3 linked regions of the Astyanax mexicanus genome follow. The protein of the gene in region 1 purifies or fractionates together with the protein of each later gene. This does not show direct contact. Links are inferred from orthologs where the notes say so. Each region holds a gene or a part of one and is shown on either strand. Other genes may lie near its edges.

Evidence for each region.
Region 2: the proteins of ogt.1 (region 1) and setd1a purify together in Homo sapiens (affinity purification with mass spectrometry; 4 studies listed by BioGRID and IntAct, with this or other methods). This does not show direct contact. The link is inferred for Astyanax mexicanus from reciprocal best matches to the Homo sapiens genes OGT and SETD1A.
Region 3: the proteins of ogt.1 (region 1) and dido1 purify together in Homo sapiens (affinity purification with mass spectrometry; 3 studies listed by BioGRID and IntAct, with this or other methods). This does not show direct contact. The link is inferred for Astyanax mexicanus from reciprocal best matches to the Homo sapiens genes OGT and DIDO1.

The regions. Positions count from the first base shown.
Region 1 is NC_064417.1:383,961-391,218, reverse strand, and holds the start of ogt.1 (UDP-N-acetylglucosamine--peptide N-acetylglucosaminyltransferase 110 kDa subunit), read right to left. Parts: upstream 3,048-7,258; 5' UTR 2,611-3,047; coding exon 2,574-2,610; intron 132-2,573; coding exon 1-131. UniProt on the Homo sapiens protein: Catalyzes the transfer of a single N-acetylglucosamine from UDP-GlcNAc to a serine or threonine residue in cytoplasmic and nuclear proteins resulting in their modification with a beta-linked N-acetylglucosamine (O-GlcNAc).
Region 2 is NC_064426.1:19,730,308-19,737,367, reverse strand, and holds the start of setd1a (histone-lysine N-methyltransferase SETD1A), read left to right. Parts: upstream 1-4,016; 5' UTR 4,017-4,236; intron 4,237-5,618; 5' UTR 5,619-5,625; coding exon 5,626-5,763; intron 5,764-6,562; coding exon 6,563-6,661; intron 6,662-7,060. UniProt on the Homo sapiens protein: Histone methyltransferase that catalyzes methyl group transfer from S-adenosyl-L-methionine to the epsilon-amino group of 'Lys-4' of histone H3 (H3K4) via a non-processive mechanism.
Region 3 is NC_064431.1:22,959,691-22,967,644, reverse strand, and holds the start of dido1 (death-inducer obliterator 1), read left to right. Parts: upstream 1-4,888; 5' UTR 4,889-5,026; intron 5,027-7,954. Other genes in the region: opioid growth factor receptor-like, read left to right, coding at 1-1,348. UniProt on the Homo sapiens protein: Putative transcription factor, weakly pro-apoptotic when overexpressed. Tumor suppressor. Required for early embryonic stem cell development.

The sequences.
Region 1 (7,258 bases):
ACCAGTATTGTCGGGCTCCTGTCTCCACAGCTGCATACAGTGACGTTCTGCTGCTTCAAAATCGCCGGACTGATACTCGCGGTGTGCAAGCTCGGCCAACCCTTGGAAGGAAAGCATATGTTTTGTTGGTTCTGTGGCCACCAACACAACCCGAAGGAGGAGGGGGGAAAACAACACGTTAGAATAAATGGAAATGAAGCAAAATAATCAAACAATGACAAGAACAAAGATGATGACTTAGTAAATGTATCTTTAACATGCAGACTAAAAACACAAAGGCTTTAGGCCTTAAAACAAACACTGAAAAAAAGTTTATCTTGTACTTTGATAAACCGATCAATCAATGTGAAAAAGGGCACTAAAAAAAAAAAAAGAGAGAACCTCATTCACATAGAGACAAACAGTAAAGTGGAAATGTAGGGGAATTTAAAAGGATGAGTCCAGCCTAATTTTATTGATGTAATTGGTGTTATATACATTATATACAATTAATCACATGATGTGACCACTAAATAAATATTTTTGGGCAATATCTTTGCTTAAATGCAGAACTCATCCTTTAAATAATTAAAAAAAAAAGAAAAGCACAGATGCTGAGAAAGAAGTATGAGAAGGAACATGAATAGACAAAATGGTGACGCCAAATAAAATGATGCATTTACTAAGTACTAAGTAAACTGATTAAATGTGATGTGCAAGCAGTCAATGGGCAAGCATTCAAACAATGAAGAAAAAAAACAAATGTGTGAAAACAAATAGAGATGCAAAGAGATAAACAGTTAAACACTGCTAAATATTGCAGCTGCACGTGTTCACGTCTAACGCTTTTATGTCTAAAGTGTCTTACAGTCTTTTCAATGTTTATGAAAGTTAATAAATATGCTTACTTTCAGATGAATTGCCAATAATTCCTGCACAGTCAAACAAACCTTTTGTTCACCTTTATTTCACCATCAGAACTGAGAAAAATTAATGATATCTATATATGCATATATATATTTAAATCAACATAAACAGTACATGACAATCTGGCTTATCTATTTACAGCTTTTTCTATCTTTTCTTTTTCTTTTCATTATCTACATCGGTTCAGGGATTAGGTGAGTCAACAAACAAAGCAAACTCTCCTGAGACTTTCTATTTATAATCAGATCTTTCTTTAGCACTTCAGCACCCCACCCTGTAAGACAGGCTCCTGCTTGGTTGGATTTAATCGGTTAGAGTTTCCACATTTTTCCAAATGCCTACTTGGTAAATACATGACTAAGATGTTACAGTTTACTAAAGGGGTGCGTCATTTTAATTGCTTTTTTAAAATGGACAAATATCTTTCGCTAGCTGCTTTTAAAATCTGTAAGCCTTTTTTTATCTCTAGTTCTTGTCAGAAACTGAATTATGATAATTTGACTGAATGATCTAAGATTTTTAAGCAAAATGTAATTCGACAAACCTTGTGAATTAGGGTGTAGCAACAGATTTAAACAATAAATAATGAAGAGTTAGAACAGGTTATTAACAATTTAAACTGTATAACAGGTATAATATTACAGTCTCACATTTCAAATCACGACAATCAACAATCAAACTATGCGTCTCTGAGATAAGAGAGAGTTATGTTATTTGTGTGCAAATCTACAGGTTTCTGATATTTTTCCCTACTAATAAATTTGCAGTAGTTGTAATTTATGTTATTTGTTAAGACAGTGTGATTTAATGACGCAGTACAACACTGCTTTCTAGAGGTCAGAGATTAAACAACACAAAATGAACCACTTCTGACACCAATTTTTCCATGTAAACTAGTAAACTAAAAAGCCAATATTACAATACCAAACAAAAGCATTATTTTCTTACATCTACAATGGACGACAAACCCAACAATTTTGTTTACCCCATTTCACCCAACCCACTGACTAAGCAGGCATATAAACAAATACAATATTAGAAAAAACAAATTAGCAAAACAAATTAATTATAATCAGCTAGCTAAATTAGCTTATTATCTGGTTAATTTGTTGGCCAAAACTAAATTAAAATCTATTTGACTTAAAACTCAGAAATATGGCTCTATGTGAGTGCTGAAAGGTCCAGTATACAGCATTAGATTTTAGATTTGAGTTTATGTATCTATAAATTTCAGAATTGATTGTTCTAAAATACTGGGAACTGTTTCTTTTTTTTTCTTAGATTGTTTTGAAAATTATTTTAGGAGCAGGATTGGGCAAATTACAAGAAAAAAATAACCAATGTATGAATTAGGCAGTTACAATATTTCAAGTTTATAAAAAAAAAAACAAATATTCTGGTTATCAGGTTTTAAACTCCATAACTCAGACATTAAGCTGAATAAATGTGAAGCACATTAACGCTATAAATGCATTTATAGATGGTTTTGTACCTACAATCTTATTTTAACAAAGCAGTGAGGACATTAGTTAGATAAACAAATATCTAAAGATGTATTATGCTGTTTTACATTAGTATTTGAGTGCTGTGGGTGTGTAACTGTGTTAAATATTGTTAAACTGTGTTAAATGTCCTCTCAGGCCTGTAGTGAATGCAGTCACGTTTACCTGTGCTGTCGGCCACGTTTCCCACTGAGCTCGCCATCTCTCCCGTCTTCGAGTCTCGCCGAGGGGTCGTCAGGGTGCCAAAACAAACACGAAACCACCGATTAAAAAAACAATAGTGCCGTTAGCTAATCAATAACACGCACACACAGACTGTGCGAGTCCGCGGATCCAGATTAAATAATCTGTTAAAATGCTGATAAAGAGTCTGAGAGGATCCCGAATCTGAGGAGAAACCGCCAGCTAACGAGACAAGCTAACCGAGCTAATCGCGCGTATTTCACTGTATTTAGCTGTCTTTACCCCTCCGCTTAAAACGTCTGTTACTCCTTCCCTATCGCTACTGTACCAAAAATGCAAACCTACAAATATTTCGGTTCGAATTAGTCAAAATGAGTCAAAAATACTCAATTAAGAGTATTTCCACCATCGCACTGACTCCGCTAACAAAGCATCTACCGAAATGGCGGAATATGGGCGGGACTTCTTTTTTGATATAAAAAATTAGACCTCCCTCTCCCTCTCTGACTCATTTAACGTGTGTTCAGAATAAGTATCAGAGATATTGTTCGCGACATTAAAGTAAATTTTTATTTGTTATATTCATCCCAAAAAATGCAGCGTATGAGTTGTTGTTTCGCTCTTTATAAACGTATTATCTTCACTACGGCGGAAGAACACTAGCCTCCCGCTAAAAGATAGAGATACACGGCTTTCTTCTGTGTATCAATGCGCCAACCACTGCGGCAATTCGGGACTGTTCCATTAGCAGAGACAGAGGGGGGGGGGGGGGGGGGGGTGGGCGGGGTGTTTTTATTATAATAAAAGCCGAGTTTTACTACAAAAACTTGCTAAAATGTGAAATATGAAATATAATAAGTCTAAAGATATTTTAATATTATAATAAATGTAAGTGTGCAATTAACGTACAGTGAAAAACAGGGACCATGTTTGGATTCAACCATTCACTCTCATTGGTTGAGCTACTGGTAGCTATAAATATCAGAATGCAGGATAAATGGTATTATCACTGTATTATAATAATATTACATTACCAGGCTATTTATGTGTATATAAGTAATATATAAGTAAATATATATAATATATATGTGTAAATTAACATTGTTGTTTTATTCTATAAACTATGGAAAACAATTCTTCCAAATTCTAAATATAAATATTGTCATTAAGAGCATTTATAAATAACAAAAAAGATGCAGAGCTTTCAGACCTCAAATAATGCAAAGAAAACAAGTTCATATTCATAAAGTTTTAAGAGTTCAGAAATCAATATTTGGTGGAATAATCCTGGTTTTTAATCACAGTTTTTAAAAACTCCAGTGTTAATGACCTCTGGCAGATGACCAAAAGATCAATGGATCAGTGGGTGTTATGTAATATTTAACATTTCTAATGTGTGTTTAGTAAATGGTTTATCAGTAAAATGCCAAGTCTACATGATTACGTCACCTAAAACATATAAGCTCATTGTTTTATTCAGACTGTTGTACAAAGTCATAAAGGTACAGATAGGTGTGTTTACGTTTAAAGAAACCTTTCAAAATAAAAGTCTGGCTTTTATTATGAAAATAATTCAGCAAATCAAAACCCCAATAAAGCTTAATTGATCTCTGACCCAATACTAGTAATTAACTAAGAATTCATAATATATCGAAATTACCGTGTTTACATCGTAATTTCACAGCAATGTTTTATAAAATAATTATGTCATATAAATAAAGCCATTTTTCTGCTACAATAATACAATTCCACTATAAGGTTTTCCATATTATTTAAAATCCAGTCTAGTAGTTTATGTTGGTGTTTAATAGCGGATGTATCTTAAATGCTGACATTTCATGCTTGAAAATTTAAGCTGTATTTTGTAAAAGCAAATTTATTTTATTCACAGTGTTTTTCTGCTGATTTGCCATCAGTCTAAAGTTAGAGTAAGGCAGACGAAATAACTCACATGGATAATACAATTAAAGGAATCAGTGTTTACATCAGTTTTGTACTTTTTTTTGTACTACTAATTCACAAGTAATTAACACAACAAAAATGACATGAGTGGTGTGTAAAAACATATATCAGAATACAATACAGATTATATTATTTTCAGAAATACAAATAATAAATTGAATACCCACATATACTGCTTGCAAACATTTTAAACAGAAATACCATCAAACTAATTTGCTAGTTTTAATAATTTTCACCAATAATAATGCTGTAGGTAAGACCATGGGGATTCATCTTTTCATAATAAAAACGAACAAAATTAAAGATTCACTATCTTACATAAAAATAAAGATTTTCTGAAATAGTCTAGTTCTGGAGCTGTGAATATTAATAGCTGCTGAATTGTGTGTGTATCTGAAGCCTGATTAGAACACACACTGTTGGAGCACTAAACATTACACTGGAGTCTTACTGCCGCAGGCCTGCAGAGGGCAAAAGAGGAAAAGGAACCAGATCTGTTTTTATTTCTGCACACAAAAAAACATGTAGTTCTCAATTACAGCTCAAAAACCTGTATTCTCTGCATATTCTTGTGTTTTTACTTCTATTACACATCTAACCCATCTTATTTAGGATTTGAAACTTAGCTCTGAAGGGTATTAGCTATGACAAAATAGGGATAATGAAAAAATATGCAGTGCATGAGGTATCTACTCTGTTATAATAATAATAATAGAAGTTTATAAGTGTTTAACACAGTTAAATTGTTGTAAAACATAGTCTCTGTCTGTCTTACTTGTTTATCATAATCATTTTCATTGTTTATTCAGAGTTTATAATGATAGAAAGTTCTAGATTTACCATCATTTACTAATAATAAAACCTGTAAAAAAAACATGTAGATTAAACAGTGATTTTGTACAGCCAATGAAATGATTATTGGTTCTTATGATAATAAGAAATCAAATCAAGCTGAACTGCTTGAATTGTTGCACCAGAAGTAAAGGCATAACATTATCCAAAAGCAGTTTGTAAGACTGGTGGAGGAGAACATGATGCCAAGATGTAATTTTTTTTTTTTTTTGCATTATAATTGCCTGTAAATGAGAATATTTTTATTTGCAATTTGGGAGAAATGTTGTCTGTAGTTTGTAGAATAAAAGAGCAATGTTCATTTTACTCAAATATAAACCTATTAACAGCAAAATCAGATAAACTGACCATTTTGAAATGCACTCATAACCGGTGGTGTCTGGCTAGAATTGTAATTGAACATTCAATGCAGGGACCCCACATTCACATCCTTATGTATTTTCTTTTACTGGCCTCTTCGGTATAAATCATCAATAAAGTGTAAAATGACCATCAGACTAAACACTCTCTCCATCCAACAGCTTACTTACATTTCCTAAATGTTGTCAGAAGAATTGTGAAAATGAGATTCACCAGTGTGCTCACTAATGAATGATGACACTGATGGTCACAGATGAAGGAAACGAGAGTGGGGACCAATGTTGTGTTCTCCCTCCCCATCCCATCGCAATTCACACAGCTTCACACACACACACACACACACACACACACACACACTCTTTACACACACACACACACAGTCACACAATACACACACACATATAGGCACAGATACAAGGAAAGCAAACATGCCACGAACCAGTTCACCCCCGTGTCTTGCCCCAGCCTCTTGGGCTGATTGACACGTCAAAAGAGCCCCTGAAGGCTGGGGTCTGTGATGTGAGAGTCTCATTAACTTCCCGTTTTCTCCCTCTTTTCTCCTAGAGCCCGAGTGCAGCTCTGTTTGCCTCTTGTCAGCTCTGTATGGGAAAGGGTTGACATCATCGGCCCGGATGGTGCGACAGTGTGTGCCCGGTTCATGTTGCTTCAGTGTGGGAGCTCGGCCTGGATACCCCCTCCTGCCCACTGCGCCACTCGGACGTTGGCTTGGGAAAGAGCCGGCTCTGGGGGAGTGATGTCATGCGCCGTGTCTTTGGCGATCGCATCTGACATGCTTTATCTTTGTGCAGGGCCGCTTCTGACCGGGCTCGGGCGTACACCTCTGCTTTGTTGAGACGGTGCCAGCGTCTGTTTTCACCGCCGAGGCTCTTTCACACGGTTATTTTGGGCGGCACGTGAACCGCTGAGGGCCGAGGGCCGAGAGTCTCGTTTCTAAATGTAGGCGGCGGCCTGTGCAGAGATGGCCAAGCTTTTGGGCACGCTGCTAAGAAATTAATGGAGCAGATTGTTCACTAATTTCGTCACATTTCCTTCTGTTTTAATTGTCTAATCTGTGGTCTGAGGTCTGAAGGAGTGACCCACATATTTCAGGTCGGATCAGCTCACAGCAGCTACCAAACAATCACCATGTTTATTTCTGCACTGGACACATACAATTCATATTCACAAAGAACATTTAAGAGTTCAGAAATCAGTATTTGGTGGAATAACCCTGGTGGTTTTTAATCACAATTTTTTTCATGCATCTTGGCATCATGTTCTCCTCCACCAGTCTTACACACTGCTTTTGGATAACTTTATGCTGCTTTACTCCTGGTGCAAAGATTCAAGCAGTTCAGACCCTGTTTATTTCAGCGCTGGACACATTTCGTCGCCTCGCGCCCGTTCGCTCCAGCTGGAGTGGTGTATATATGTTGTGGGTTCGGAGGGGGATGTTTGCACAGTCATGGTGACGGCTGTGTGCACAGTGTAAA
Region 2 (7,060 bases), on another chromosome or scaffold:
TGTTAATTTTACTCAAACATATACCTATAAATAGCAAAATCAGAGAAACTGATTCAGAAACTGAAGTATGAAGTCTCCTAATTTTTTTCTAAAGTGTTATATACTTATATACAAGTGATGCAACTTTTCAGTGTATGACCCTAATAGAACACTATGTATAAAATATATAGGTTGTAAATCTACTTGTGTTACATTTAATGAGATCAGCCATAACATTAACACCACTGAGCTGGTGAAATGAATTACAGTTCCATTTTTCCCCTCTTTGGTATAGTGAAAAAGAAATGGAATTTCATTCAGGTTTTCAAGTTTTTATTTTTTCCCCTGATAAAATGAAAAAGAAAATAATAATAATATCCTGTCTTTCTCTCCAATCTAATAGTTAAATAACTACATTTTCTTATTACAAGATGCAAAAACAAAATAGAGAGTAAAATAAAGATTCTTTTTTTCCGTTTTCCGTGTAAGATTGGAAGGGCATGAATTAAAAACTTATAAAGAAAACAGGTGTATTGAGCTACTTTGTTTATTTTTGTTGTTGATTGTTGTAGTTCCACAATAAAACACTAGATGGAGGCACTAACTTAACCCTCTGCAATGACACGGCGTGCTGTTTAATGCACTACACTGAAAAGTCTCCTTTATTGGATAATTTAGCCAGTTATTAAGCTATTTCCATTTAGTAGTTTTGGTAATCGTTATTATTTAATGTGAAAGTGCCATAATATCGATTAGAACGTTACTAAAATAGGGCTATTCACTGTATACCAACTCTACCACAGCTGTATACTGTTGTATATCTGTATACCAATACTACTACCACAGCACAAGAAAATCCAGCCAAGATGTACAAAGCTGTCATCTAGGTAAGAGATGCTACTTTAAAGACTCTAAAATACAAAACATATTCTGGTTGGTTTAACACTTTTTGTTTATACCATCATGTTTGAAATGAGTTGAATGTTCTATTGTAAATAAAATACGAAATATATCATCTGGTCAGTTTTAATAGCAGCATATTACTTAAATGTTCTGGGGTAAACTTTTGCTCCTCTGTTCTAAACAATCCGGTTTATTATAAAATATTTTGATTAGTACACATTACCACATGTTATGGGATATTCTGGTACTGCAGATAGAGTTACTGTAGAACCTCACTATGACTTACTGTGCTACTGTGATTTATTATGCACTTCATCCTCAAAGGAAGTTGCCAATAAATCCTGCTCCACAGTGTTCCTGGAAAGATTAAACCAGATAAAGACGTAAATGGCTTGTGTCTGATGTCTGAGATGCTCTCCAGTTCTCTAAATGGAGAGATGATTTCGTTTGTTTAGACGATTATTTCTGTCTGCAAACTAAGTCTCTACTCAAAGCCTTAACGTATTTATTAAATCCTAGTAAATAACCAGTGAAAGATGAGACTAGTTGCCAAAAAAAAAAAATAAACGCCAAATATCATCAGTAAGTGAGATCATACATTTGGCACATCTTCTTGTCCTATATCCAACCAGGCCTTGAGCCAGCAGCAGCATCTGGAACTCTTATGTTGTGCCAGTGGTGTGAAGATTACAGATTTACAGATTTGTTTTTGTTGTTGTTTTTTTTTGTAATACTTACATTAATATCAGACAAGTAACCTAAGTAAATATAAAAAGTACTTTTTTAATTATGATTTAATTTATTAAGGGGAAAAAAAATCTAAATCTAGCCCCTGAACAAGCCCGTCATAAATTAACCTTGATTAATCACACTTTTTGTAAAGCTGAGTTCAATTTCTCTAACCACAACCAAGACTGATTACCACCAGACCTGTAGAATCAAGAACTTACTTTCTGACAACATGAAGCTAAAAGCAACACATTATGCTGTGATCTAAAGAAATTCCAAAACAGATGAGAAAACAAAGTCATTGATCATTTATCAGTCTGGACAATGTTGTAAAGTAATTTCTAAGGTTTTGGGACTCCAGTGAACCACAACGAGAGATATTATTCACAAACTGGGAAAATATGAATCTCTGGTGAATCTTCAGGAGTGGCCGGCTGACCGAAATTATTCCAAAAGGGCATGGACAACTCATCTAGGAGGTCACAAAGCGTCAGCGGTAATGATGGAATAATAAAAAAGTGACTGGTCAAAAATGGTAACCATGGTAAAACTTACAATTAATTTCACAAAAAACATAATTCTGAACATAAAGCATAGTGGTGGTAGTGTGATGGTCTGGGGCTGCTTTGCTGCTTTGACCTGGACAGCTTGCTGTAATAGATGGAACCAGGAATTCTGCTGTTTACTAGACAATCCTGAAGGAAAGTATCACAAAAAAGCAAAAACAAAAGAAATCTGTAGGGAGGCAAATACTTTTTATACTGTATACACAGTGTCAATACTGTCCAAAAATGGCTTCTACTAGATGTTGGAGCATTGCTGTAAAATTCTAATACTAACAAAGATATTCTGAATTCTCTATTTTCAGACAGTTACTTTGCTGAGCACTCCATAAATAAAAATCGAGGCAGATCATTAAATGTTAAAACATTACAGTTTTATTTAATATTAATACATCTTCTGAAGAGTATGTTTTCATAGTATGTAAAGATGAAAGGACTCCTAACATTATTGCATTTACTGTGGCTAATTTTTACTTTTAATATTTTATTGTTTCAGTCAGCTATACAGTACCAGTAAAAAAATTACACAAATTGAATACAGTGGTATTATAGTGGTATAATCCATATTATGTCAAAAACTAGACCAACAACCTTATGAAACTTGCTCTCATTAGAAGTGCCAGAGCAAGAGAGGAGCAAGAGTTACAGTATATCCGGAAAGTATTCACAGCGCTTCACTTTTTATTACGTAACAGCGTTATTCCAAATTGTATTACATTAATCTTTCCTCAAAATTCTACACAAAATACCCCATTACGACCATGTGAAAAAAAGTTTTCTTGAGAGTTTTGGAAATGTATTAAAATAAAAAAATAAAAAAAGAAATCATATTTACATAAGTATTCACAGCCTTTGCTTAATACTTTTTAGAACCACATTTGGCAGCAAATACAGCCTCAAGTCTTTTTGAATATGATGCCACAAGCTTGGCACACCTCTCTTTAGGCAGTTTTGCCCATTCTTCTTTGCAGTACCTCTGAAGCTCCATCAGGTTGGATGGGAGACATCTGTGCACAGCCATTTTCAGATCTCTCCAGAGATGTTCAATCAGATTCAAGTCTGGGCTCTGGCTGGGCCACTCCAAGACATTCATATAGTGGTCCTGAAGCCACTCTTTTGAGATCTTGGCTGTGTGCTTCGGATCGTTGTCCTGCTGAAAATTGAACTGCCACCCCAGTCAAGAGCGCTCTGGAGTTCTGGTTTTCATCCCGGATGTCTCTGTACATTGCTGCATTCATCTTTCCTGACTAGTATGCCAGTTCCTGCTGCTGAAAAACATCGCATTGCATGATGCTGCCACCACCATGCTTGACTGTAGGGATGGTATTGGCCTCGTGATGAGCAGTGCCTGGTTTCCTCCAAAATCTTATTCCATGTTTGGTTTGCATTTTTATTTAGATAAAATAAATATTAATGATATAATTGTAATTTTTATTAATTGTAATTAATTGTGTATAATTCATTTTAAGTTTATATACAAATTATCTAGCTTACATGACGTTATAATTGTTGTTTGTTTGTTTTCAGCTTTTTGTCTGTTTGTTTATTTTTGTTGGTTTGTTTGTAGCTGTTTATTTTGTTTGTTAAATGGCTGTTTATTTTGTTTGTTCATTTATATCTGTCGTTTGTTTGTTTATACTTGCATATTTTCTTTACATATGTTTATTTTGTTTGTTTGTTTTATGGCTGTTTAATTTGTTTATATATATTTGTTTTGTTTTGTTTTGTTTGTTTTGATGCACTTGGCCGAGGCTTCACCTTCACCCTCCCGCCTGACTCCCTAGTGACGTCTTTAGCAAGTAAACGGCAGATTCGCCAATTTAAGACACACATTGCTAGCTCGTCAGATAGAAAAAAATATATAGCTGCGTCAGAGGATGAAGCGTGTTGTATTGTTTACTGTAAATTAAAACACGGATCGTTTGATTCATGTTTTAATAATTTAGCGCTTTCATTAAGTTCGCTAGCCGGCAAAGATAGGCAGATCCTGTGCGGAAAGTGCTTGAGCCGAATCAAAGGAATGTTGTTCTTGTGACGAATGGCGGACAGGCGAGGCTCTCAGGTTGGTTGCGCGATGGCCGCTGTGTGTTTAACCCCGATTATTTCCTCAAAACAGCGCTTTTAGGTGGAATATGGCGCTTTAAAATGTCTCGAAGCGGCACCGGAACGCGGGCAGCACCTCTCGAGGCCGGGCAGCGCGGCCCCGGAGTGGAAAATACGCCGCTTTTTGGCTCCGCGGGTCTCCGGGAGTCTGGTTCGCTGTAGCGGCCTGCCGAGCGGCTAGTTAGCACATTAGCTTAGCATGCTAGCTATCTTGTTTAGCGGCATTGTGGCGGACGTTTTTAGCTTGTTAGCGCTTTAGCTAAGTGCAGGTGACCGCTCGTAGCTGCGTTGGAGGCTCTAAAAGAGGGATAAAAGACTTTAGCAGACGGGAGCCTCTGTTTTAGTGCTCGGATAAATTCGCCGCGGAGACGGAGGGTAAAACGAGTTTAGTTTGAAATCTGGGGTTATTAGCTACAGTTCATAGCGTTTCTCCTAACCTAGCGGTATCTACTCTGCAGGCAGCCCACAGTTTTAGTGTTTATACTGTTATAACCATGTGGATATGAGTGCAGGTTGCCGGTAAAAGTCGTTAGCTATGTAAAATCGGCTGTTCTTTCAAGTAGTGTTGAAATATTGTTAAAAACAGGACTCAGTTTATGAGGGATATGATTAGCTGCTATTGTTGCAACTGTGCAACTATGCGTGCAGCATCACAACAAAAACCTGATTAACTCCTCTTAGACTCATCTCCAACAGCAACAAGAGACAATAGCATAGGGAAGATGATCAGGAGAGGGCTTGAGCAAGGATTGCATACAGCCCTTGGTCATCATCTGACCTACTCTTTAGGTTGACTATTTCTAATTCTTTCCCTAAGAACAAAAAAGAGAGTTTGGAAAGCTTAAGCTGGATGACCAACATAACCATCATGTCCAAGTTTGTTTACCAGACTAACCTATGTAATGCCGATTGAACTAAATATTGTAAGGATGCATGATAATATTGAAGTTATGTCAGTATAGGTTGATACTGTTTTTTGAATCAGCAGCATTCAGTGATATTAATATGACCAATACTTCGAACCGATACTTGCTGACTTTCTGTATTTATTGTAAGGCAGCAAAGGTCTAAGTGATGCTGGCCATGCTAATAAAATTGACACACACTGACAGAGATTCTTTAAAATGATTTGATTTATGTATTTTTTTTTTTTTAGTTTTTTAAAGTTATACCAGTGTGTTGAGTCTCTCTGTAAGTAATAAAATGTGTATCCTCTTCAGCAAATTTATATATAGTATATAAGTCTGATTTCCCACATCGGTGCATCCCTACCATTGTGCCATTTGTGCCTTTGCCGTTGTGTCCTGTGAATTTCATTCACCATTCTTATTTTCTCTGCAGTAATAGCATGGATCCAGATAGTGGGGCGGACACCCAGCGAGCTCTCAGTCTGCAATGGAAGAGCTACAAACTTGTACAGGACCCTGCCATTCGCAGGGTCGCTCAGAAGATCTACAGATACGATGGGATTCACTTCAGTGTGCCGGTATATGCTTTTTTTATATAGTTGGTTTGTGATGGTAGACGCCGCAGTCAGCAAGAAAATAACTAAAATCAGGGCATTTAAGGGTAATGTATTACTTGTCAGCAAGCTAATTCTGAGGCCTCTGAGTCATTTTGTGAACATCTGTTTCAATGCTTTCAGTTGAAATGTGTTAAGTGACTCACCATGCATTAAAATATTTTAATTTATTTATTGGACATTTGTGTTGGATTTAATAAGACGGATATACCTTTAGCTTTTACACAATACTGGGAATCTTCATTCTTGGAGATCTACCAGCCTTGCCCTCTTAAGTTTAGCTGTGGTACACCTGGTTTTAATATTTATATGCTGCAGCTGAAGGCCTTTATCAACAGGATCATAAGTGTTGGACATAAACTAGTAGAAATAAATGCTTTGTTTCTTTGTCATGCTAATCCAAGGTAATTTAGTCTCAATTTCAACATTTTATAAATGTTAGTAAATCATCACTGACATGCATATCAAATTTTGGATATCTGCTTCAGCCCATAATTCCGCTTAAGTTAATATCAAGATTTTATAGGTAGTCAAATAGGTAGTCTGTATGCCGTTATGCTTATTCAGGCCATGCAGTTTTAAGTGCATGTGTTTGTCAGTTTTTAGCACTAAATAAATATTGATATTGTACATAACAGCAAAATCTGGTTTGTACTATTAGCACTGCTTATGTTAAAATTGAGGCTATATTTTTGGAATACTTATAACTACATGATTCCTTATTAAGCGATTAATATTCATTAAATTATTTTCTAACCCTTAGGACGCAGGGTTCCCACCTGTGGGGGAGTTACGTGACCCTCGGCCCCGAAGGATATGGTCCAGGCACACGGAGCTGTCGCTTCCCGTGCCCAAATTTAAGGTATGTTTTTAATGTCAGTCTTTTTTTCTCATATTTGCAACCTGTGAGTGAAAATGTTCCACATCAATTCTTGTTTTCTCTAGAGTACATTTTTATACATATTTTGGCTGAATTGTTTTGCTCTTCTTGCTTGAGTGCACCTGAACAAATTCTTAACATTTCATAAGTAATTGTCTCAGTCTGAAGGCCTGTTTTCTGCAAGGATCTTTAGAGACAGGAAATTTTAACTTTTGAACAGACTGAGGTCTGGTTGAGTCTTTTTGGCTCTGGTGGCTGTTATCGCTTTTTGGTCAGCAGAGAGTTAAAACAGGCCTTTTGGTGGGCATTGTTTGCTATAGCTAATGCTGAATGCACACTACATAATTGTGGGCATGATTTTCCTGTCATGGACAAATGTTG
Region 3 (7,954 bases), on another chromosome or scaffold:
TGGTTTAAGCAGGAATGCCTTTAGAAATCCAGATACACACCCTCAACAAAACATGAGGAGAATGGAGGACAGTGCTCTAAGCACAAATGTAATGGCATCAACTGAAAATGATACAGCAGGAGCAGGAGCTGTAATGCATAGTGGCACAGAGACAGCTCCTCTGAGTGATAATATGGTGTCTACAGAAGAGCAAGATGGCACAGACACATCTCCTCAGAACGATGATGTGTCGAGCCAGCATTCTGCAGAAGTTTCCAGTAGCACACATACACCAAATCAGAGTGATTCTGCGATGTCAGCATCAAGCTCTGCAGAAGATTCAAATAATATTTCTGAGAACCACGGTGTCCATGAACGCACTCTGAGACCAGACATACCATTAAGGCCAGATAATGAAAATAATACAGATGACCAGGGAAAGGACATAGTACCATTACATTATGGAGCTAGAGCAGAAGCAGTGCCTGTTGTGCCAGATGGCACAGAAACATCTCCTCGGAATGATGATGTGTCGAGCCAGCGTTCTGCAGAAGATTCCAGTGACACGTCTAAGAATCATAAGAGTGATCTTGACGGCACAAATAAAGAAAACAACAGTATAATAGATGAGAATGGAGCTGGTGGTGCTAAAGCAAAAGGTGTGTCTGTATTGCAGGATGGCACAAATTCAACAAATCAGACTGATTCTGGGATGTCAGCAGCAAAGTCTTCAGAAATTTCAAATCAAATGTCAGACGACCACGGTGTCCCTAAACCCACAGCTAAAAATGACACAAAGACAACAAGGGATGACGCTCTCAGACAGGACATAGTACCACCAGAACCAGATAATACAGATGATTTAGAGGGTTCTAAAAATACACAGAGTTCTGAAAAAGAGTCAGTTGCAATGTCTGAGGACCAGAGTGTCCAAAAAAGCACAGCTACCGAACACAAGGGGAGAACAGGGGATGATTCTCAGGAACCGGGCATATCATCAAATGAAAATAATGCAAATAATGCAATGGAATCCTCAGGGGGTGACACAGAGGAAGTTTCTCTTGTGGGTGATATTGAGATGTCTGACAACCAGGAGAGTGACCAGAGACGAGAAAAAGATCCACCAACTAAAGATGATGATGATGAAATGGAAACAGAGGGTAACACAGAAACAGCTCAGAACATACTACCAAATGTAGATGGTGGGGCACATCCTGAAGCAATGCCTGGACTACAGAGTGGCACAGATACAACTCATCTAAGTGATAGTCCTCTGCCAGGACAGAATTCTACAGTAGAGTCAGATGAAATGTCTGACAACCTGGAAAATGACCAGAGATTGGACCAAGATCAAAAAAAAAAAAGATGATGAAGCAGATGCAATGGTGGAATAGTCTGAAACGGAGCATGACACGGATACACCTCAGGATGCTAAAAAGTCAATACTAAATTCAGAATATTTTTTTAATATATAATTTTTTGACATGAAAACACAAAACTACTAAAGAAGAAATAAAAAGAACAGGTACAGATACTCCTGGCAGAAGATTCAGATAGCGAAAACATAAAGAGAGTAGTGTAGGGTTTACTGAAACTGGAACCACCAAAAGGTGACGCAGAAGAAGGAACTGATAAAAAAGGACATTTTCTGGAATATTATTTTGCCGTTCTCAGCAATGTTTAGAACTGAAGCATTTATAAGATGAATCAATTTAATTATGGGAACGGGGATTTCACTGTTATAAGAATAATAGAAATGTAATGATCGCATGTTAGGACGTATATCAATATACAGTATTTGTTTGAAAAGGTATTTCCCTTTGATTTCCTTTTTAAATTTAAAAACATAAAAAATCTCTGTAATCCATTTTTATTTCTGAAGTCTGTGATCTATATATTTCTATAAGTAATATTAAATAGTTAGATGTTAGGAAATTTTATAAATTATGTAATTTGTAGATCATGATCTGACTCACAATTTGACTTTGCATTTAATCTGTGATAATAAATATACATTAACAAAATGTTCTCTGGCTGTTCTAAATGTGTGTTCATATTTTCTGTATTCGAGCCTTCTTTAGAAATTTCTACTTGCAACTTTGGTGCAAATACAACATGACTTCCACTGTTTAATGATAACAGATGACAAATTAATCACACCTTTTCACACTTGAAATGCACCTGCAAACTATATTTTTAGACAAAGAACAAGTAAATACAGAAAGCTTTTTAAATGATGTATTCATTTTTAAATGAATCATGTATTAACAGATTATTAGAATTTTCATGATCACTTGTTAAGAAGTATTGCCACAACCAATAGAGCAACCAAAATCCCACATAACCTGTGGGATTTTTCTATCCCAGATTTTTCCATCTCTAATGTATTAAAACTATTTTTTTCTGACATCAAAATGTATTTATTTGTGCACATAGTTTTTTTTGCTGATTTAACACTGATACAAAAATATATATGTTTTGTTTGTATTAAACTTTAAACAATAAATATGCATATACTGTATGCATTCCATTTATATAACTTGTACTGTAAAAAGGGACATATAAATCATATTATACTACAAAAAAATAATGATAGTAATGTATTATTATTATAGTAGTAGTATATGTGGGGAGCACATTTGCCTAAAAGCATTGAGAGTGTATACCATTCAAAACATTTAATTGAACATTGATTCAATGTCAGAAATTTAAAACTGACCTTTATTTCAAATATAGTGTGTTTAAAGGTTGTTTTACCATCAACAACATCACAATATGTAATATGAACAAATGTTTGTTCAATGTTTTATTGCTATCCAGGATATGTGAAAAAATATATCCTTTCTGGATATAAAACTGTCACTCACATAATGTACATACTTCCTTTGGGTTTGTTTCATAATGATTTTTGTTTGTTTTGTTTGCAGTAATTATAATTTATAAATTGTAAGTATACTAGCTCTCTTAACAGAGGTATACATATAGCTCTACATTACATACTTATACATAGTTTCTGTGGTGTTCATGTTCATTTCAACCAAAACAACTTAAGAGTTGAGAATTAGATTGATATAGGGCTTTTCAGAAACCCAAGAACACTTTAAAATGTCAATAGAAAGGAGGATATAGAATATCCTAATGAATAAATGAATTGCACAGCTAAGACGTGAAGTGAGAGAAAAAGAGGAAAGTGGAAGAGCCATGGAAAGATTGTGTCTAAGAGTTGCCAATTTTATGTGTCACCATAAAATTGGCATCTCTGTGGTGCTGCTCATAAGAGCCGTGGACCTGTTTTTCCTGTAAAGCGGCTTTGTGACAACCTTTGTTGTAAAAAGCGCTATATAAATAAAATTGAATTGAATTGAAGAGTTCCAAAGTTAAGGAGCTGATGAACAAACAGCATTATCTACTACCTACAGGTTTTAATTTAATTTTAGGGGCAGTCAGAGGTCCAGAGGCAGGGGCATAGCAGCAAATTCTGGGCCCTGTACACTCTCTATGTCAGTGGGCCCCTATCCATGCCAGTACACAAGGAACGTGATCAAAAAAAACAAATTCTGGATTTCATGGGCCCCTCTCCCTACTCGGGCCCTGGGTAGTCAGGTCCACTTTTCTCACCACTACCACGCCCATGGTCAGAGGACAGTGAGGCAGAATAAGTTAAATGAGGTATGAAGGGAAAGCCCATAAAGGGGTTTAAAAGTTAGCAATGTACTTAATATGTGAGAATATTTACATGCAGCCAGTGAAGATTCTTGAGGACGGGAAAATGTGGGCGAAGCGTTTGGTGAGAGTAAGGACCCTAGCAGCTGAGTTTTGTATCGACTGAAGGTGACTGAACTGCGTAAACAGAAGACTGGAAATTAAGTTGTTACTGGGACCCACCTTACTCTCATATGGGCCCCATGTAGGCCCTGTGTGCAGTGCAAAACCCAGAAGCTGCCCATGTTTAAAGGAATCCTCTATTGCAGGGGTGTCCAAACTATGGCCGCGGGCCATTTGCGGCCCGTTTCCTTTTTTGGAGCGCCCCACGAGGTATTTTGGAAATAGAATGAAAGTTGGCCCGCTGTTAAGCAGGTTTTTATAATGTGGCATTCAAAGTGTGAACGCTAGGTGTAACGGGGCAAAAGAGTCTAAAAGCGGAGAGAGTGCGCATTTCTAGCACAGAACAACGGGGCAAAGAGTCTAAAAGCGGAGAGGGTGTGCATTTCTAGCACAGAACAACGGGGCAAAGAGTCTAAAAGCGGAGAGGGTGTGCATTTCTAGCACAAAACAACGGGGCAAAGAGTCTAAAAGCGGAGAGGGTGTGCATTTCTAGCACAAAACAACGGGGCAAAGAGTCTAAAAGCGGAGAGAGTGCGCATATCTAGCGCAGAAAAACGGGGCAAAGGAGTCTAAAAATTGCCGTAATTAAAGAGTTTAATATTAAGAGACATCATGAAATTAAACATCAATTTGAAAAATCTTAGTTTACACAACACTGTCAAAGATAAAGATGGTATGTAATGGTGTGTAAATGAAATAATCAGGAAAAAAGTATTATTTAAAGTGGTATATTTCATTATTTGTTTTATTACCGAGTGGGGCCCGTGACTTTAAATATATTTCTCCTTCTGACCCCCAATAAAAAAAGTTTGGACACCCCTGCTCTATGGCGTCAATCGATGTCAGAAGTCGGGGGCGCAAAAACAGCAGGTGAAAAAAAAACGTGTGAGTTTTAACATTTTGCCTGTGTAAATTTCTTTGTCGCAAGCACAACTTTGAAACTCGCAGGCACAAAAAAAGAAAATGTGTGCGTGCAGAACAGAATATCGCTGTCGAGCTTTATTTTTCACCTTTTTTAATACCTGTATGCAGGCAGCAGGGGGCGGTCTGATCCCCGCTCCTCCTCCTCTTTCTCCGCGGTGTGTCTGTGGGTCTGGCTGTAGCTGTGTTTGTCCTCTACCAGCGCTGGGAAAGGCGCTCCTCCATCAGCAGCACGCAAAGAAGAAAATGGAGGACAAGATGTGGCGGTGAGCGCGCTGCTGCAGACACGCCGGATTCACAAGTGAGTGTGCGGCCCTGGAAGCGCAGACGGTCCGCGGCTGGATGCATGCGCTGCAGCGGGTTTAGAACGATGCTTTTAACTGCATTTAACTTAATATTTGATCAGATTCGGGTTCCGCTGAGCTGTTGCTGCACGAGCTCGGGCGGCAGTAATGGCGTCGCGGTCTGAAGCCTCCACTATATAGATTATAACCACTATCATCATCTTTATCTGCGCGGATTACACATATTTACAGCCTGAACGTAGCGAAATCGATGTGGCGGTAGTGTAAAGAATATAATCAGCTAGTAGTTGCTGTTATAGTTTATATGATATGCGCTATAAAATCATGTTTTTGGAGACAAGTTATTAGCTAAGAAAGCTAACTAACTTGGCTAGCACGTTAGCTTAGCTAGGTTGTTGCGTAGAGGTGGGTAAACCAGGTCTAAAAAGGAAAAAAGCCAACCCAGGCTTTGTACCAGTTTCCTGGGCGGTTTTGCTGAGTTTTCCAGGCAGTTGATACAAAACGCTGGGTTGGATTTTTACTTACTGGACCTGGGTTACACACCTCTAAATTACTTGTTGGCTAGCCTCGTGGCTAACATTGGATTTAACGTTGGCTAGCGTTCGCTAATCTAGCCTTCTCACACGGCTGCATTTCGTAATGTCTCTCAGTTTAAATCACAAAAAAAGACTTGTTGCTTTAAACGCTGTAAACGTCATATTTAGCGACATATAGATATGTAACTAACTAATATAGCTACGTATTACTTACTGAACGAATTTGTTTAAATGTAGTTTGTTTAGCACCTTAGCTATTTAGATACCCTGCAAAGCGATTCGTTAGTGTTGTCATGTAACCTAGCTAACATAGCTAGCCAATATTAACGATAGCTAACTAGCTAGGTTAGCTAAAAGTGGGCGTGATGCGCACAGTAATGCCTTACTTTTACCTATTTATTGGCACGTTTAAGGAATTTTGTGCTTTTTTCTGTGTCCTACCCATTAGCATAGATGAGCTAGTTACCCCCTTTACGGGCCTTGTAGTGTAACGTTAGGTGATACAAAACTATTTTACTGCTTTTTCTGCAGTAAAATCGGTTATTCACATTCTGAAAACTTAGAAATCTCACACGGGTTACTTGGAGAAGCTGCCTGTTTATTTTCTACTGCACTTAATAATTTCAGATCAGTAACAGACACCAAACCCACATTATGCAGGTTTGTAAATAAACAAAAACTTGACAAACATAACGAAACGAAAGGTTTGGGGGAAATGAAATGTCTAATTTGTATTCAGGAAAATACACATTTAAAAATAAAGTTTAGGTAAGTGACAATTTTATGTTTGTTATTCATTATATTTGTAAAGTTGCAGATTTAATTTTTAAAAAAATAATACCTATTACAATTCGAATTCCTAGTAACGTGTATTATCGAACATGAAACCTCTATATCTTTAAGATTTAAGGGTGTGTAATATCAGGCAGAAAATTAACAAGCTAACCCATGTCTGGATTGCACCCGGGTATAAGTACCTAGCATTTGCAACACAGGGAGGCTTTGTTTCACACATTGATTTAAAACTTTGCAATGCAGTTTACCCTAATGACTGGGCACATTTTACTTGTTGGTACAATATAGCCTATAACTACCTATATAACTATAACTATAAAACTACCTATTTAGAGCCAGGGGTTTATACATTAGTGATGTAATCTATTTTACCTAAGCAATGTCATGCCTTTCTGTGAACTTTAGAATAAAGATTAACCTTATCATGTGGGTAAATAAGTGCTCAGATTATAGAATTCCACTTTATTTAATCAAATCTAATATTTTTAGGTAATATTTAGGTAACATTTGATTCAATAAAAAATGTATGAAAATTAAATGCAGTTTTAAGAATGTAAATTGCCAGTCTTTTCACGTACATGCAAAAACATTGCATCTCATTTTTAGTGGACTTTCAAGTTTATATAATTTGAATATGGCAGTTGTTGTTTAAATTGTATAAAAATGGGTGTGCAAAAAGCTTGTGCCTTCTGAATATTGATGCCAATTTCAAATTTAAATCGGATAAATTCAGGGAGCAGCTCAATCACGTTTTTTTTTATTATTATGAGCACATGACTAGTTCTTATTTTAAGGTTAAAATTCTGATGCAACCAAAATGACACAACAATTTTTAACAACTGGTATTTTATACATTTGTTCTAAAAAATAAGTTCAGAACTAGCCAGCTAGTCCTATCAACGTGATGCATGTCATTAACGCGTTTGAATTGTTAAACCGATTGAAAAATACATGTAGGAGCAAAAATACACTTTTTAGGCAGCTGGTTTATCTCAAGCACCAACCCAGCAATACTTTAGCTTTAGATACATTCTGTAGTTAAATGAGGGCACATGAATGAATACTAATTCACTTACTGACCTGTAGTAACGCACACAGTAATGTGTGTTCATGAGATACAGTGTTATTGTAGCGCAGAGGGGCTGCGGAGTATTAGCGGGTACGGAAGATGACTTAGCCTAGCCTAGCTTAGCTCGGTTAGCTAACCTAGCCAGCTCGTATTAACGTAGACACGAGCTGTTCTACTACTTTAAACCCTAGCTAAAGCGTGTAAAAGCACATTTCGGAGCGTACATGCCCCTAGCTAAGCTACATTTTAATCTTTAGCTGATATGTAAGGTAGCACGGGACATGGGAATACGGCGCTCCCTCCTGCCTCGTGACTGGGAAAACTGGGAACACGAAGGCGTGAACGTGGCCTGCATTATATTTCCCCATTATTTGGATTTTAAAAAAACGAGTAACTAATACGGGTGTGTTTATATTTGTCAGCTTTAGTTCAGTGTAAACGAACCCTGGTGCGAAACCATTGCTCTGTTAGGAGGGTTCGTTTGAGTAATAACTAACCTAGCAACCTGCTAATGTTACTCACGT